Macaca fascicularis: one gene and its partners. The protein of the gene in region 3 purifies or fractionates together with the protein of the main gene of each other region. This does not show direct contact. Links are inferred from orthologs where the notes say so. Each region holds a gene or a part of one and is shown on either strand. Other genes may lie near its edges.

Region 1 (4,297 bases), on a different chromosome or scaffold from region 3:
CAAGGCCAAAAGATAGAGACCATCCAGACCAACATGGTGAAACCCCATCTCTACTAAAAATACAAAAATTAGCCGGGTGTGGTAGCACATGCCTGTATTCCCAGCTACTTGGGAGGCTGAGGCACGAGAATTACCTGAACACAGGAGGCAGAGGTTGCAGTGAGCCGAGATCGCACCACTGCACTCCAGCCTGGTACAGAGCGAGACTCCATCTCAAACCAACCAACCAACCAACCAACCAACCAACCCAGGGTGAATCCAGGGTGCTCTATGTGCAACTGGAGCCAGTACAGGGCTTTAGAGTCCTTTTTTTTTGGAGACAGAGTCTCCTCTCACCCAGGCTGGAGTACAGTGGCATGATCACAGCTCACTGCAGCCTCAAACTCCTGGCTCCAGGTGATCCTCCCACCTCAGCCTCTTGAGAGGCTGGGAGGAGATGCACTACCACATCCAGTTAATTTATTCTTATTTTTGTAGAGGCAGGGTCTCATTATGTTGCCCAGGTTGGTCTCAAACCCCTGGGCTCAAGCGATCCTCCCATCTTGGCCTCCTAAAGTGTTGGGATTACAGGCATAAGCCACTGTACCCAGCCTAGAGTCCTGGCTTAAAATCTGGTTTTACCATTAGTAGGCAACTTTGTCCAAATTAACTTCTCTGAGGTTCCGTTTCCTCTTCTGTAAAATAGGAATCATGGTACCTACTTCACAGGGTCATTATGAGGATTAGATGGGATAATTTATAAAGTGTGTACCCCAGAGCTCAGGAGTCAAATGGTAATTACGGAATTCATAAAATATGTATTTGTGAGGCTGAATGAGGTGGCTCACGCCTGTAATCCCAACACTCAGGGAGGTCGAGGCAGGAGGACTGCTTGAGCCCAGAAGTTTGAGACCAGCCTGGGCAACATGGTGAGACCCTGTCTCTACTGAAAATAGAAAAACTTAGCTGGGCGTGGCGACGTACACCTGTAGTCCCAGCTGCTCAGGAGGCTGAGGTGGGAGGATCACCTGAGCCAAGTTTGTGTCACTGCACTGCAGTCTCAGAGACGGGGTGTAACCCTGTCTCAAAAAAAAAAAAAAAAAAAAAATCTATCTATCTATATATATCTCTCTATATATGTATTTGCAACTATGGCTTGCTCCTTTTCATCACAAGTATACTTTATCTAAAGTACCCTCTGCCTTCCCTTTCACCAAACTGTCTTGTTACCTATCTAGTTTCTTTTTTTTGGAGTGGGGGGGTCAGAGTCTCACTCTGTGGCCAGGCTGGAGTGCAGTGGCACAGTCTTGGCTCACTGCAACCTCCACCTCCTGGGTTCAAGCGATTCTCCTGCCTCAGCCTCCCAAGTAGCTGGGATTACAGGCACGCGCCACTACGCCCAGCTAATTTTTTTATTTTTAGTAGAGATGGAGTTTCACCATGTTGGCCAGGCTGGTCTTGAACTCCTGACCTCGTGATCCATCCGCCTAGGCCTCCCAAAGTGCTGGGATTACAGGCGTGAGCCACCGCGCCTGGCCATCCATCTAGCTTCTTTATAGCATTTGTCACTACCTGACACTACTGTATGTATCTCCTTTATGTTTACACTTTTATTGTCTCGTCTCCCGATTTGAACGTACACTGTTTAAGATTAGGGATTTGTTGAACTTATTTGCTGCTGTAAATAGAGCCTGGCAGGCAGTAGGTGCTCGGTAACGTTTGTTAAAAATAATGTGTGAGCAGGCTGGGCGCGGTGGCTCATGTCTATAATCCCAACACTTTGGGAGGCCGAGGGGGCGGATCACCTGAGGTCTGGAGTTCCAGCCCAGCCCAGCCAACATGGTGAAACCCCCGTCCCTACTAAAATGCAAAAAATTAGCTGGGTGTGGTGGCGCGCGCCTGTAATCCCAGCTACCCAGGAGGCTGAGGCACGAGGACTGCTTGAACCAAGGTGGCGGAGGTTGTAGTGAGCCGAGATCGCCTCACTGCACTCCAGCCTGGACCACAGAACGAGACTCTCTCAAAAAACAAACAAAAAAAGTGTGAACAATCACACAATAACCGAACCACCTTTTCCCGAATCTGCAAAATGGAGACCATGATGGTGATAAATCTAGCCCACAGACTGCCTGTCAGAAATTAAGTACAACCAGACCGTCATAGATTTTTACTCCCACTCTGATGCACACGAAAAAGGAAATCTTTGGAAGTCAGGCGCCGACCGAGTCTGTGAGGGCCCTATACCCAGGTGGCTCCGGGGTGGCCGCCGCTGCCGGGAAGTGGGTTCTGACAAATGACAAACAGCAGAGGGAGCCTGCCCCCCGGGGCGGAGGAGGAAGTGGGCCTCACAGAAAAAGGAGAAGCTAGACCCTGGACTTGAAATATGAAAAATAAAAAGGGCAACCCTTGGCTTCGCGCTGTAGTGACGCTTTGGGAACCCTGCCGGAGCCGGAAGGAGTAGACGGAGAGAGAGAGAAGAGGGCCTCCTCACACACCCTGGACCCCTGGACCCCGGGCCCACTCCTGCCGCGCCCCCGCCTCCCACGACTGGCACCCGCGGGCTGTCCCAATTCTTCAGCGACCGGTCCCCTCCCCTCGCCTCACTCCTTCTCGGGCTCCCGCTTCCTCTCTGCCTTCCGCCGCCCGCTTCTCTCGGCACACACAAGGTTTCTCCCCGCTTTTCGCAATCCCCGCTGTCTCCCCACACCATGGATCGAACCCTCACCGGCATCTTGGCAGCACCCGGGTTCCAACCCAGAGGAGCAGAATCCAGGTAGAGCAGAACGCTTCCGGTCTGGCAGCCCGGGCGGGGTAGGCGGAAGCGAAACGGAAGGGGCGGGGTGATGACGTGAGCTTCCGGCTTTGTAGTTCCGCCTCTGGTTGCAGCGGCCGCGCGGATCTGAAAGGGGGCGCCAGAGCGCTAGGTAGGGGCCCTCAGAGTGGCGCAGCGTGAGGCGCGCGCAAAATGGAGATGGGTCTTGAGGTTCCAGAATCTTCGATCAATCACCTCTTTTGTGTTTTTTTCAAATTTCACCTTTTCAGGGCCGGGCATAGTGGCTCATGCCTGTAATCCCAGCACTTTGGGAGGCCGAGGCGGGTGGATTACCTGAAGTCAGGAGTCCGAGATCAGCCTGGATGGTGAAATCTCGTCTCTACTAAAAATACAAAAATTAGCTGGGCGTGGTAGCATCCCAGCTACTCGGGAGGCTGAGGCAGAATAATCGCTTGAACCTGGGAGGCGGAGTTTGCGGTGAGCCAAGATCGTGCCGCTGCACTCTAGCTTGGGTGAGAGTGTGACTCTATCTTAAACAAACAAACAAAACACCTTTCCTGTGAAGCCGCCTCTGGTCATTCTGTTTTCAATTCACCCGACTCCAGCCCCATGCCTTATCCTTCTCTCCCGCTTTTTCCCTTAGTTCTTATGATTCTTGTATTTAGTTTACTCTTAGTGCTTGTCTCCCTATCCTTGTAAATGCCAGACAGCACTTCGCCCGTTTTGTCCCCTGGCGCCTGTAACAGTGATGGTATGTAGGAAACATCAGTATTTGAGTAAATGAATGAACCCAATGCACTGCATCTAAAAATAGAGAAACTGAAGGGCACTGGAATCTGAATCGCAGCTTCAATACATACTAGCTCTATAATTTTGAGCAAGTTAACTTGCCTCTGTACTTCAGTTCCTCACCTGAAAATGGTAGTAACAATATTTACCTCATAATTTTGTGACGATGAAATGAATTACATGTAAAATGCTTAGAACTTACATGCTTGGAGCATACCGAAAGCCCAGGAGTTTTTAACCTATTTATTACTAGAAAACTTACGTTAAAAGTCAAGTTCATTGCTACCTGAGAGCCATTTCTTCTGCCAGTTCGCAGCCTGGAATAGAGCCCCATGTTCCCACATCTGATTTCGCATTCAGGTGACTGGGCAAATAGCACCTTTTAGGCAAGGTCTTTTTTGACAAAGAGCCCAAAGTAGCCCCATAGTCACTCTCCATTTCTTTTCTGCTTTCTGTTCTTTCCATCCTCTCTCCGAGGTTCAGTCTCACAGCCCAGCATGACAGCCCCACGTGAGCAAAGCGCTGCCTGCACTGAGTCCCTGTTCTATCCCCAGTACCTGGCATCCATAGAACTTCAGTAAATTTGTGTAAAGAATCATGTCAGCCCTGCCTATGAGACAGTGAAATCCTCGAGGACTGGAATTGTCAGATTCATCTTTGAAACCCTAGTGTCCAGTGGGGAAGGCACTGGAATTGGGTCCTTCACTTTTTCTCCACAGGCACATACCATACTCTCTAGAAGCTAAACCAGGGAGG
Region 2 (4,256 bases), on a different chromosome or scaffold from region 3:
CTTACCTCCAGGGACAGTCTCAAGCAAGCCAGGCTTCAGTCCCTTACTGACAAAATTGATGGCACAGTTCCTACTCACAGGGCACTTAACTGTGTACCAAGCTAGGCGCAAAGCACTTTATCAGCTTATCTCACTTAATTTCTCACTCAGCACCATGAACAAGGACCGTTGTGATCTCTTTACAGAGAAAGAAACTGAGACTCTGTAAGGGTGGGTATGTGCCTATGCTTCCAAGATGCAATTTGAACCCCGCTATATTGAGTCTGCACCCCTGATCACCATGCTATATTACTATGCATTGCCTTGCCTTTCTGATGCTCTTTCCTTCCCTTCTATTTCTCTTGGGTTCTGCTAAGACTTTGAGTTCCAAGCACCCCATTCTTACCATGTTCTCTGGGACTCTTGGCCTCTTTTCTTATCCTACTCCACCTTTCTCCCTTCTCTAGTCACTAATAGTGGTTTAGAACGTGGGCTGGTAAGCCAGACAGACCCGGGTTCAAGTCCAGGCTTTACCATTCTCTACTTATGTGCCCCTGAACATGTTGTTTAACCTTTTTGAGTCTCAGTTTTTCCATCTGTAAAATGGGAACAAAAGAAGTCTCGGTCTGTTTCCCCATTAAAAGTCTGAATCTGAAAAATGGGGATAACAACGGTACCTACCTCCCTGGGATGTTCTGAGGATTAAGAGATGATGCCCGTCAAGAGCCCAGTTCAGTGTCTGGCACAGAAATGGGACTATTTAATGGCTGGCCCCGCCCGGGGGTCGTCCAAATGTCCCGCCTTCAGAGTCCTCGTTCTCTAGGGACACCCTAGCGCGACCCCCGCCCCCTCTACCTCCTCACTGCGGCCTCCTACGGCCCCAGGGCCGCGGGAGGGGGCGGGGAGTTCCGGTCGACGGGAGCAACCGCCCCGGAACTGGCTATGGGCGGGCCCCTTGCAGTTGACGCGGGGGCGGGGAGTCAGCGAGGGCGAGCCTACTGAAGTTTGCCGGGGGTGGGGAGAAGGTGGGCCTCGAGCAAGCCCGCTAGAGGTGGGGTGCGGGTGGTTGGCCTCAGGCGCGCCCCAGGGCATAGCCCGGGGCGGGAGGCGGGAGGCGGGGCTTGGCGGCGGAGATCTCGGCGCTGCAGTTAGCGCCGCTGAGCCCCAGGAGCTGCGGGTAGGAGGGGCGAGAGAAAGGATGGGGGCACAGAACCGGAAGAAACGAAGGGCTCCTCCGCTTCAGCTTGTCCTAATTTGGTGCCCAATCTGAAGCTGGGCTGTACCATTGCATACCTGGGGGGAGGCTGTGGCAAAGGTAACAAGAAGGCCGAAGGCACAAAGGGGAGCTGCTCCCATTCCTGGAGAAGCTTAAGTAGTGACTCGAGTGCAAGAGTTTAAAGATACCGAGACAGCCCTAGGTGGAAAACTTCCGGAAGGGCCAAGCGTTCGCAAGGGCTCCCTATCCCGCTCAGAGCATAGATGGTACCATCCGGAAGTCCGGGCGGAGACAGAGGCTGCGCTTCTCGCGAAAGGGCAGGCATCGCGGGGCTGGCCACTTCCGTACTTCCGCTTTCCGGCCCAGCCAGCGCCCGCGATGGTGAGAGAGCCGGGCCCCCGGCCAGGGACCCCCAGCTGTTCAGCCTCAGGGCAGTGGGTCGGTGGGAGATGTGGCTTTGCCGCAGGGGCGCGGGGCTGAGGGATGCCCGGGGGTTGTGGGGACACCATGAGGGTGGGAGAAAGAGGGCGGGGGCCCGAGGTGAGGAAGGGGCGAGTAGGGGTACTCCCTGGTTTGAAGCGGGCCTTGCGGCTTCGTGATCAGCCTTCCAAGCAGGTAGGGGCTTTTACTGAGCCCTGGAGGAAGCTGGAAGTGGGGCTTCCTAGGCTCTTTGGAGCGTTTCGAGGGTACGTAGTCGGCCTCTTAGCCCGTCGAAGGGCCGCTGAGGCATGTAGCGGGTCCATCTGCCTGTCCACAGTAGAGCTTCACTAAATACGCCCTTTGTCTTCTGCCTTCCTGACCCTACAGTTGCTTAAGGCAGGCGGCCACACTTCCTTATCCCACTCTTGGTACCTCCAGCCCTGCTTCCACCCCACTGGAGGATCTCTCGTGTTGCTTCCATTCAGGCCCCTCCTGGTCAGAACTGAACTGTGTCAGCCCTAGTGTTTGTTAGCTGTGATACTGCTCATCCCTCCCTTCCTGAAAGTCCTCCCTTTTTCATACATGTGGGTATTCTTGGGAGTTGTGACTTTGGATGACCACCTCCCTCATCGTCACACCTTCCCTGGTGATACCGATCTAGTCTGCTGGCTTCGATGACTTTCTTCACTCTGATGACTCCTAATCTGGCTTCTCAGCTCTCTTTGAAGGTTTGCCTGGGTATCTTGAAGAGACCTTGAAATTACACCTCTAGTTCAAAACTCATCTTCCATTCTAAATTTGCTCTTCCTCCTGAGTTCCCTATCCTGGCAAACTTTGTGAACTCGTATCCCTGCTAGAAATCTGGATTTTTTTTTTCTAATGGAGCACATGCGTCTTGATTTTTAAAAATTTAAGTTTTTTGAGGTATTGTATGAGACTACGTCTGTTTTATTCATGAAAGGACAGGCGTCACGGAGCCAGTCACCTTTTTTAGGTTTACTGTCTATAACTATTGCCAAAGGCCGGGCGCGGTGGCTCGCGCTTGTAATCCCAGCACTTTGGGAGGTCGAGGTGGGCGGATCACGAGGTCAGGCCATCCAGACCATCCTGGCTAACACGGTGAAACCCCTTCTCTACTAAAAATGCAGAAAATTAGCCGGGAGGGTGGTGGTGGACGCCTGTAGTCCCACCTTCTCGGGAGGCAGGGGCAGGGGCAGGAGAACGGCGTGAACCCAGGAGGCAGAGCTTGCGGTGAGCCGAGATCGTGCCACTGCACTCCAGCCTGTCGCTCCAGCGACAGAGCGAGACTCCATCTCAAAAAAAAAAAAGTGTTGACAAAAACTTGCTGGGTATGGTGGCATGCACCTGTAGTACCATCTGCTCAGGAGGCTTAGGCAGGAGGATCACTTGAGCCCAGAAGTTCGAGGCTGTAGTACCCTGTGATCACGCCTGTGAATAGCCACTGCACTGTAGCCTGGACAATATAGCAAGATCCTGTGTCTTAAAAAAAAAAAAGTCAAGTTATGTAACCACTACTACAACCAAAATACAGAATATTTCCATCACCCCAAAAAATTCCCTCGAGCCCTTTTGTAATCACACCTTTCCTCCTTCCCACCCCCGACAACCACTGATTTTTTTAACCCCTATAGTTTTGCCTTTTTCAGATTGTCATGTGAATGGAATGCTTTAGTATGCAGGCTTTTAAATGTACCTTCTTACCATAGTACATGTGAGAGTCAACCATGTTGTGTGTATCAATAGTTACTCTTTTTTATTGCTAAGTAGTATTTAATTGAATGACCGGACCATAGTTCGTTGGAAGTTGTTTTTTTCTTTTTTTTTTTTAAAGACACAGTCTCTCCCTGTCGCCCAGGCTGGAGTGCAGTGGCCAGATCTCGGCTCACTGCAACCTCAGTCTCCTGGGTTCAAGCAGTTCTCCTGCTTCAGCCTCCCAAGTAGCTGAGATTACAGGCACCCGTCGTGGCTAATTTTTTTGTATTTTTAGTAGAGACAGGGTTTTGCCATGTTAGCCAAGCTGGTCTTGAACTGCTGACCTCAGGTGATCCACCCACCTCGGCCTCCCAAAGTGCTGGGATTACAGGCATAAGCCCCTGGGAAGTTGTTTTTCAGTTCCGTTATCCACTCCATCTAATGTCAGTCCAACACTTGTGATACTCTTTGCTGGTGACACAGTCTGCTGTATGTCTCACTTCCCTCTCCAAATCATTCTTCACAGAGCTACCATGCAGCTGCAGTCATGAACTTCCTCCTCAGAAAGCCCCAGTAGTTCCTTACCCCCTTAAGAGAAAAGCTAAACTTGGTCTGGCATTCAAGATTCCCCATGATCTGACCTCAGTCTACCACTGCAGCCTCATTTAGTGAATCTAAAATGCTTCTCATATACAGAAACATTGTACTCATTACTACTCTGGAACTCTTGCTGTCCTTTTGTGTTACTCTAACCTTAATTATTTCTTTTGCTCATTTATTCTACAGGAAATGAGTAAGACACTCTACATGTTACGTACTGAGCTAGGTTGGAGGCTATATAGCTGTGAGTAAAATAAATATGGTCTGTTGACCACGAGGTTTACAGCCTAATAAAGGAGAAATCACTTTACAAAGGCATGAAGGAGGC
Region 3 (3,510 bases):
CGAGACCATCCTGGCTAACATGGTGAAACCCCGTCTCTATTAAAAATACAAAAAACTAGCCGGGCGAGGTGGCGGGCGCCTGTAGTCCCAGCCACTCGGGAGGCTGAGGCAGGAGAATGGCGTGAACCCGGGAGGCGGAGCTTGCAGTGAGCTGAGACCCGGCCACTGCACTCCAGCCTGGGCGACAGAGCGAGACTCCGTCTCAAAAAAAAAAAAAAAAAAAAAAAAAAAAAAAAAAAAAAAAGAAATTTGTAAGATTGCAAGGAGTACCAGCTGACATAAAGTTTAGCCTTGAAGGAATATTAATGAACTTAGTTTCCTATCCCATTACAATGAAACTTCTAAATCGTTTCTAGCAGGTAACATTTTGTTGGCCTTGATTTATACACATTTGAAAGAAAAACATGTTTCAAATTCATAACTCAATTTTTTTTTTTTTGAGACGGAGTTTCACTCTTGATGCCCAGGCTAGAGTGCAATGGCACAATCTCAGCTCACCACAACCTCCGCTTCCTGGGTTCAAGAGATTCTCCTGCCTCAGCCTCCCAGGTAGCTGGGATTACAGGCATGCACCACCACACCCCGCTAATTTTTCTGTATTTTTAGTAGAGACGGGATTTCTCCATGTTGGTCAGGCTGGTCTCAAACTCCTGACCTCAGGTGATCCACCCACCTTGGCCTCCCAAAGGGCTGGGGTTACACGCGTAAGCCACTATGCCCGGCCCATAACTCAATTTTACTGCAAGTTCCCAATCTCTTTTCGAAGAATAAAATTTCCGAAGTTTTACTAAATTACAAAGGTAACATGATAATCCCCTCCTTTCAGTTTCAGCAGAATACAAATAACAAAACGGCTACAAAGAGTCATGTATACTCTGCTATTTTTAGTAGAAACACAAACACTGCCAGTATAGTACTAAATGACAACTTTATGTTGAAGGATATTTACCAGTCATGCTGAACACACGCCAGGTAGAATACAATTTTTTTTTTTTTTTTTTGAGATGGAGTCTCACTGGGTCGCCCAGGCTGGAGTGCCCAATGGCATGATCTTGGCTCGCTGAAACCTCTGCCTCCTGAGTTCAAATGATTCTCCTGCCTCAGCCTCCCGAGTAGTTGGGATTATAGGCGCCTGCCACTGTGCCCGGCTAATTTTTGTATTTTTAGTAGAGATGGGGTTTCGCCATCTTGGCCAGGGTGGAGAATAATTGTTTTCTTATCAAAATAAACAGGAAGGAGTAGTTAAAATAAGTTTTGGTCATAAAGTCAACCTCTATGTTTTGACTGGGTCAGCTACGAGTGATTTATTTAAAAAATGTACAATAGCCTGATTAGACTTCTACGATTCTGGTGAGTTTTCACTTCAATAGTTTAAACAAGTAAAATATTACATCAAGACACAGAGTTGTTTGGCAAATAAGCTTTAAAGAAAGGAGAACACTGGCTGGGCGTGGTAGTTCACACCTGTAATCCCAGCACTTTGGGAGGCCAAGGGGGTGGATCACAAGGTCAGGAGTTCAAGACCAGCCTGGCCAAGATGGTGAAACCTCATCTCTACTAAAACTACAAAAATTAGCCGGGCGTGATGGCAGGTGACTGTAATCCCAGCTACTCGGGAGGCTGAGGCAGGAGAATTGCTTGGACCACGAGGGGTGGAGGTTGCAGTGAGCCAAGATCGTGCCACTGCACTCCATCTGGCCTGGGCAACAGAGTGAGACTCTGTCTCAAAAAAAAAAAAAAAAAAAAAAAAAAGAACATTGTTATCTGTAGGAATCCTACATAGATATCGTGTGAAAAAAAAAATTCCTCAGGGAACAGAGACTCTTTCAAGGTTATTATTTGTATATGAGAGTAAGAAAACAGCAATATGTGCAGTATAGAGTGAGAACAGAACATGGACACAATAGCTCTATGTTAATATAAAAAACATGCGATTTAACTTAACATGCACATCAGAAGGGAAAATGCTCAGACAGCATCAAGAATTTCAGAGAAAAAAACCACACAACTCCAGATGAGAAAAAACCAGAGTTTTTTCAGTGCAAATGTAAATTCTATAGAGAGGGATAGAAAAAGTTCAGATGTCACTCACCAGTCATTTTCAGACTCAAAGTAACAAACAGAAATGAGTCGTGCTCCACTTCCCACAGCAAATTTGTTCTCTAGGGGGGACCACTTCACAAAAGTAGCTGCGCGATTAATTCTCAGGATCACCAGGGTTGGCTTCCAGACACCATCTTTCTGACTCCAGACATAGGCATTGCGGTCTGCTCCACAAGTGACGATGCGATCGCTCTTGGGAGCCCAGTCAATACCTGCAAGTGAGATGTGGGTCACCTGCTTTGCCCAGTCAATGACAAACAACTGCAGCACAGGCAGGTGGGTGGCACTGGCATGCCAGGATGAGATGTGGTCTTGGGACCTTCCTCCCAGGCACATCCTTCCCCCCATCTATGTCCTGATCACTGCCTCAAGGAAAGGCAAGGATGCTTCTCTGCAAAGCATCTGGGACTCAGGATTATCTATGAGGTCATGTAGAACAGAGCTGTTTTATAATTACAGACTTTACAAAACTAAACGGGGGCATTCTTTCGACCCAGAAAATTCACACATTTCTAAGACTTCTAAAGATCTCAAGATTCATTACTTTTTTCTTTCTTCTTTATTGGATTTTTGTGTGTGAAAATAACTGTATTCATTCATTAACAGACCTCATTCCATGATATTAACCAACAGTCTGCTACATGGCATTCAACTAAAACAGCATACAGGGTAAATAAAAATAATCTTTAGTGTAAAGGAGGAAATATATATTGTGATTCATCATATATTTTTCTGAAAGTTGCTGTCAGTTGAACCATACTGAAAACCTTTTCTACATGATGCAGGTTCTGTAAAATTCTTGATTATCTTTGCATCTAAACCAGGAAGATACCTAAATGTGTATCTGAATTTAAGGTTTACTTTTCTTATTTGATGAGACTTTATCTGGTACCTCTGTGAAGAATCCCAAAGTCAAGGTCAGTTTCTTATATACTAAGAGCAAAATTTACCATGACTCATTTAACATTTACTAATGAGGTATTTTCTTTGCTTTTGTTTTTGTTTTTTGAGATGGAGTTTTGCTCTTGTAGCCTAGGCTGGAGTACAATGGCGTGATCTCAGCTCACTGCAACCTCAACCTCCCAGGTTCAAGTGATTCTCCTGCCTCAGCCTCCCGAGTAGCTGGGATTACAGGTGGATGCCACCACACTCAGCTAATTTTTGTGTTTTTAGTAGAGACGGGGTTTCACCATATTGACCAGGCTGATCTCGAACTCCTGACTTTAGGCAATCTGCCCGCCTTGGCCTCCCAAATTGCTGGGATTACAGGCGTGAGCCACTGCACTTGGCCTTGATGAGTTATTTTCTAGAAATATAATTTCACATTAAAAAGTACAGAAATATTACTAATAAATATTTATTACAGATCTCTCTCTAAAAATTAATACTTAGCATTCTTGACATGTA
Region 4 (3,962 bases), on a different chromosome or scaffold from region 3:
AGTGGGTAATTGTAATTTAGAGACCTAAGAACTGAATGCATTCTCTAAAGCATAAAGAAATAGACAAATTATAGGTGCACAATTTGCATTCGGGGCCCACAGAATTTTGAAATGTAAAAGCTCCCTGTTAAGGCCATACTTAGAGATGCTTATCTCAGGGTCCTCGACCTCAAGGACTTATCCTCCATGTGCTAATAAAGCTGAAAGTGTAACTTCCCAGGAGGCACCACTGGCAACCTGCAAGACCAAAAAGCCTTTTGAGGACCAAAATAACTGAAACTCTAAAGGGGGAATTTCAGATTGTGACAAATGGTAAAGAGAGGGAGGTGGCAAGGGGACTCCTAATCAGTTCCATTCAAACCATCAAAGTGCAGTTAACAACCTCTCCTTATCAGAGAAACCAGTGTAATAACTTAAAAATATACTATTGTAATAATTGTAATTTTAAAACAGAAATACTCTAGGTTAAATTGAACCCCTCTCCCCGATCCTACTGGTCATTCAGCATGTTTTAAATTCAAGGTTGCCCTTTAGGAAAGGAGGTCACTTAAGGACAGATGACCTCAATGAGACATCTTGTATACTAATTCGAAACTATTTCAAAGAGGGAAAAATGGAGATTAGAAAAGTAACATACTACTTGAGATGTTACCATATTATTTCTTAGGGCCACAGTTATTTACACTATTTTTTTGACAACTCAGTAATTTCTAAAGCATTAATTATGTAGCAATATTCGTCACTTTAACAAAACACATTTAAAAAGTTCTATCCTACTGACTCAGGCCAAATCTAATTTTAAAACTGAACTTAGACATAAAACTACTCATCAATTAGACTAAGAAGGGGGAAATAAAAAAAACTATTGGTTCCGAGAAATGAGAACCAATTAAGAAAAAACTTTATAATAAAGTGTTCATGAAAAACTTTATAATAAAGTGTTCATCAATAAAATACATGGAAGTTCCAAGGCTAATCTAGGCTAGTGCTTTCCTAGGGAGAATATTAAGAAGTTGGTTGTTTCTCTCTACCTAATTGGGATTTTAGAAACTGCCACACTAGCTAGTTATGAGAATGAAGATTAAAGAAATTTCACATAAAGAGTGAAGGACACACAATCTTTTAAGTAACAATAATGAAATTAATAATTATAATTAATAAAAAAACAAGCCTCTCACTGCCTTCCCCCTCAAAAAAAAAAAAAAATTGGGAGTGTTTTGGGAATTGGAGAGATGTAATTAGAACAGAAAAAAAGAACCCTTTCCTATAAGTCATCGTGAAGCAGTGATTCTACATTAAAATAAGAGTAGTCTATTCTCTATGTAGTTATGAGTGTGGTACAACTCTCTAAAATGTCTATTAATACAAAATGAAAGATCACTTTTAAGCCATTCTACATTTTAGCAAACTACCCTACAGATCTAGGAGTAACTACTTGCAACTTAAACACATTCCTATATACCTCTATACCTTTCTGCTTCCTTCAAGATACCTTTACAGAATGAACGAATACAACTTAAATTAGTTTATTTCCCAGGGTGCTTCCTTTCTCCCCTCTCCATGAAACATAAGCACATTTTTTAAGTCATATAAATGGATACCAAGCACCTGTAATTCAGTCTCTTTAAAATCTGCTTAATTTTAAAAGTTCTAATAAGATGTGTTCAGGTTGGAAACTAAAAACTACCTTATAAGGGTATAAAAGACTGAAAGCAGGAAGCGGCTTTGACAAAACTAAGGAAGTTACAGCGCGCTTGCTCACTGGGGGACTTTTTTGAGGCTACAGAAGTAACACATGACATCTTTCTCCCTCGAATTAAAATGTGACTCGGTTCACCGGTTGAAACGCAGAGGGAGATGGCAATGACCGGGAGTCGAAAGGAGAAGGTGGGTGGTCAAATGAAAACCCCACTGTAGGTTCCCATTTTCAGAGTCCGATTCTTCCCTTTCCCCACCCACACCCTGGGCAGAATGTTGTCACAGCGATCTTGCAAAACCTACCAGGAGCGCTTCTCTTTTCTAGCTCCTCTACCAGGCCAGTCCCCGAGCTCGGCCCCTGGGTCCCCACACCGACTGGCAAAAAGGGACACGGAGGGAAAGCAAAGCCGGATGGGTCGGGCCCGGGGACCACCCCTAAGACGACCGTCCCTAGCACTCTCTGGGCGGCACTGCCCACCGCAGTGGGGGAAGGGCCGGGAGGGGTCGCGCGGAGGAAGCTGCAGGGAGGGTTGGGGGTTGAATCTGGGGCCCGCGCCCCCGCCCCAGTCCTAGGAGGGAGAAACGAGGGGACCGGCGAGGCCCTGGCTCCGGGCCCCACCCCTCGCTGGCCGGCGAGTCTAGGACTGACAGCCGGCGGCAGCACCTCGCCGCACCATTCATTTCCCGGCCTCCTCCCTCCCCCGCCATTTTCCTTCCTCCGCCTCAGTTTCCCCACCCCCGCCCGTAAGCCCCCTTACCCCGTGCCACAGTCCACCACACAGGCCGGCAGCCGTCCCGCCATCTTCCTCCTCGCCTGCTGCTGCTGCTGCCGCCGTCTGCTCCGTGCTGCTAGGGGCCAGAGATTGGCGGCGGGAGACAGGCGCTATCTGACCATCCACAGCCGGGCCGCCTTCACCGTCCGGGGGGTAGCCGGGAAGCCGAAGCAGTAGCAAGAAAGCAGCAGGCTCGGTCAGCGGCTATCACTTCCGCAACCCAAGCAGGCAGGCAGTCCCCGCCCTGCCCCGCCGCGGCCTCCTCCCCCTCTCTCTTCCCTCCTCCCCACTCCTGCCCCCACCCTACAACTTCTTCCCCTCACGCCGCCTTTCCCCGGGAAGCCAAGATGGCCGCCGGTGCCGACGCCCCGGCCAGGCCGGGCCCAGGCCCCGAGCACTCCCCCTTCCGCTCCGAGCGGGAGGGGCTAGCGAGCATGCGCAATAAGGTGCGTTCGCCTGCCGGGGCTCCGATCCTGAAGTTAGTGAAATCCACAGCGGGTTTTCCAGGAGGGTAGAGACGGAGAAGTCTAGCCGAGCTTCTAGTTCTGCTTCTGAAGCTGGAAGGGGCTTTTCGGTGGTAGCCCTTGGGTTAGTTTCAGTTACTTCTCCGCTAGGTTGAGGAAAGAGTGGAAGCGCCTCCTGCAGCCACGAATATCCTCCAGTGCCTGGGAGAAAACGGCCTAATCGAAAACGTCCGCGGCATGCATCCATTCTTAAAACTTGAGTGGCTGCTTTTCTGGGTGGAAAAGAGAGATATCACACAGGGTGAGCAGTCGGGGAACGGATGAACAAAGGCTTGCACCGTGGCCCTGATGCCTTTGTTCCGAGTTTTATTCAGTTGTACTTGTGCGTTGTTACAGGACTTCAGAATGTAGCCCTGCCCCCCAACCCCCACCTCCCAAGGCCTGAGCTCCTGAGGAAGGCAAACCGCCCAGGAATATATTCTGCAAAACTACAAACAGCCTTTATTCAAGGCTTTTGGACTATGACAAAGATTACCCTCAGGAGTAGTAAGATTCTACTAGCGGGATAATAGAAGGGATTTAGCCCCCCCCAACAAAATTTTTTTTAAGTTAAAGACGGAGGCGGGCCGCAGTGGGTCAGGCCTGTAATTTCAATGCTTTGGAAGGCCGAGGTGGGAGGAGAGGATAGCTTGAGGCTAGGAGTTCGAGATCAGTCTGGGCACATAGGGAGACCCCCCCCCCACCACCATCCCTCCAAAAAAAGAAAAGAAAACTGGAAAGCCTTAAAGAAACCTTTCAAACTTTAGTGTGTGTCAGAATCACCCGAAAGGTTTGTTAAAACAGATTGCTGGGCCACACCCCCAGAATTCTCTGACTGGGCTGTCTGAAATAATGCCTGAAAATCTGCGTATCTAATCAGTTCCTAGTTCCACTTTAGGACCCTAGAAGGTTAATAGCTTTCCTCTCTACCAGGCTGATCTTAACAATAAACCATTCTGAGTTTGCTAATGTGAAGCTAAAATAAAAA

Evidence for each region.
Region 1: the proteins of ARPC1A (region 3) and ARPC3 purify together in Homo sapiens (affinity purification with mass spectrometry; 8 studies listed by BioGRID and IntAct, counting the BioPlex papers as one, with this or other methods). This does not show direct contact. The link is inferred for Macaca fascicularis from reciprocal best matches to the Homo sapiens genes ARPC1A and ARPC3.
Region 2: the proteins of ARPC1A (region 3) and ARPC4 fractionate together in Homo sapiens (co-fractionation; 7 studies listed by BioGRID and IntAct, with this or other methods). This does not show direct contact. The link is inferred for Macaca fascicularis from reciprocal best matches to the Homo sapiens genes ARPC1A and ARPC4.
Region 4: the proteins of ARPC1A (region 3) and ACTR3 purify together in Homo sapiens (affinity purification with mass spectrometry; 7 studies listed by BioGRID and IntAct, counting the BioPlex papers as one, with this or other methods). This does not show direct contact. The link is inferred for Macaca fascicularis from reciprocal best matches to the Homo sapiens genes ARPC1A and ACTR3.

The regions. Positions count from the first base shown.
Region 1 is NC_088385.1:117,322,137-117,326,433, forward strand, and holds the start of ARPC3 (actin-related protein 2/3 complex subunit 3), read right to left. Parts: upstream 2,808-4,297; 5' UTR 2,711-2,807; coding exon 2,705-2,710; intron 1-2,704. UniProt on the Homo sapiens protein: Component of the Arp2/3 complex, a multiprotein complex that mediates actin polymerization upon stimulation by nucleation-promoting factor (NPF).
Region 2 is NC_088376.1:148,054,166-148,058,421, forward strand, and holds the start of ARPC4 (actin-related protein 2/3 complex subunit 4), read left to right. Parts: upstream 1-1,449; 5' UTR 1,450-1,458; coding exon 1,459-1,626; coding exon of another isoform or gene 1,627-1,633; intron 1,634-4,256. UniProt on the Homo sapiens protein: Actin-binding component of the Arp2/3 complex, a multiprotein complex that mediates actin polymerization upon stimulation by nucleation-promoting factor (NPF).
Region 3 is NC_088377.1:47,933,414-47,936,923, reverse strand, and holds part of ARPC1A (actin-related protein 2/3 complex subunit 1A), read right to left. Parts: intron 2,316-3,510; coding exon 2,093-2,315; intron 1-2,092. UniProt on the Homo sapiens protein: Probably functions as a component of the Arp2/3 complex which is involved in regulation of actin polymerization and together with an activating nucleation-promoting factor (NPF) mediates the formation of branched actin networks.
Region 4 is NC_088386.1:17,949,136-17,953,097, forward strand, and holds the start of ACTR3 (actin-related protein 3), read right to left. Parts: upstream 2,808-3,962; 5' UTR 2,501-2,807; coding exon 2,457-2,500; intron 1,888-2,456; exon of another isoform or gene 1,764-1,887; intron 1-1,763. UniProt on the Homo sapiens protein: ATP-binding component of the Arp2/3 complex, a multiprotein complex that mediates actin polymerization upon stimulation by nucleation-promoting factor (NPF).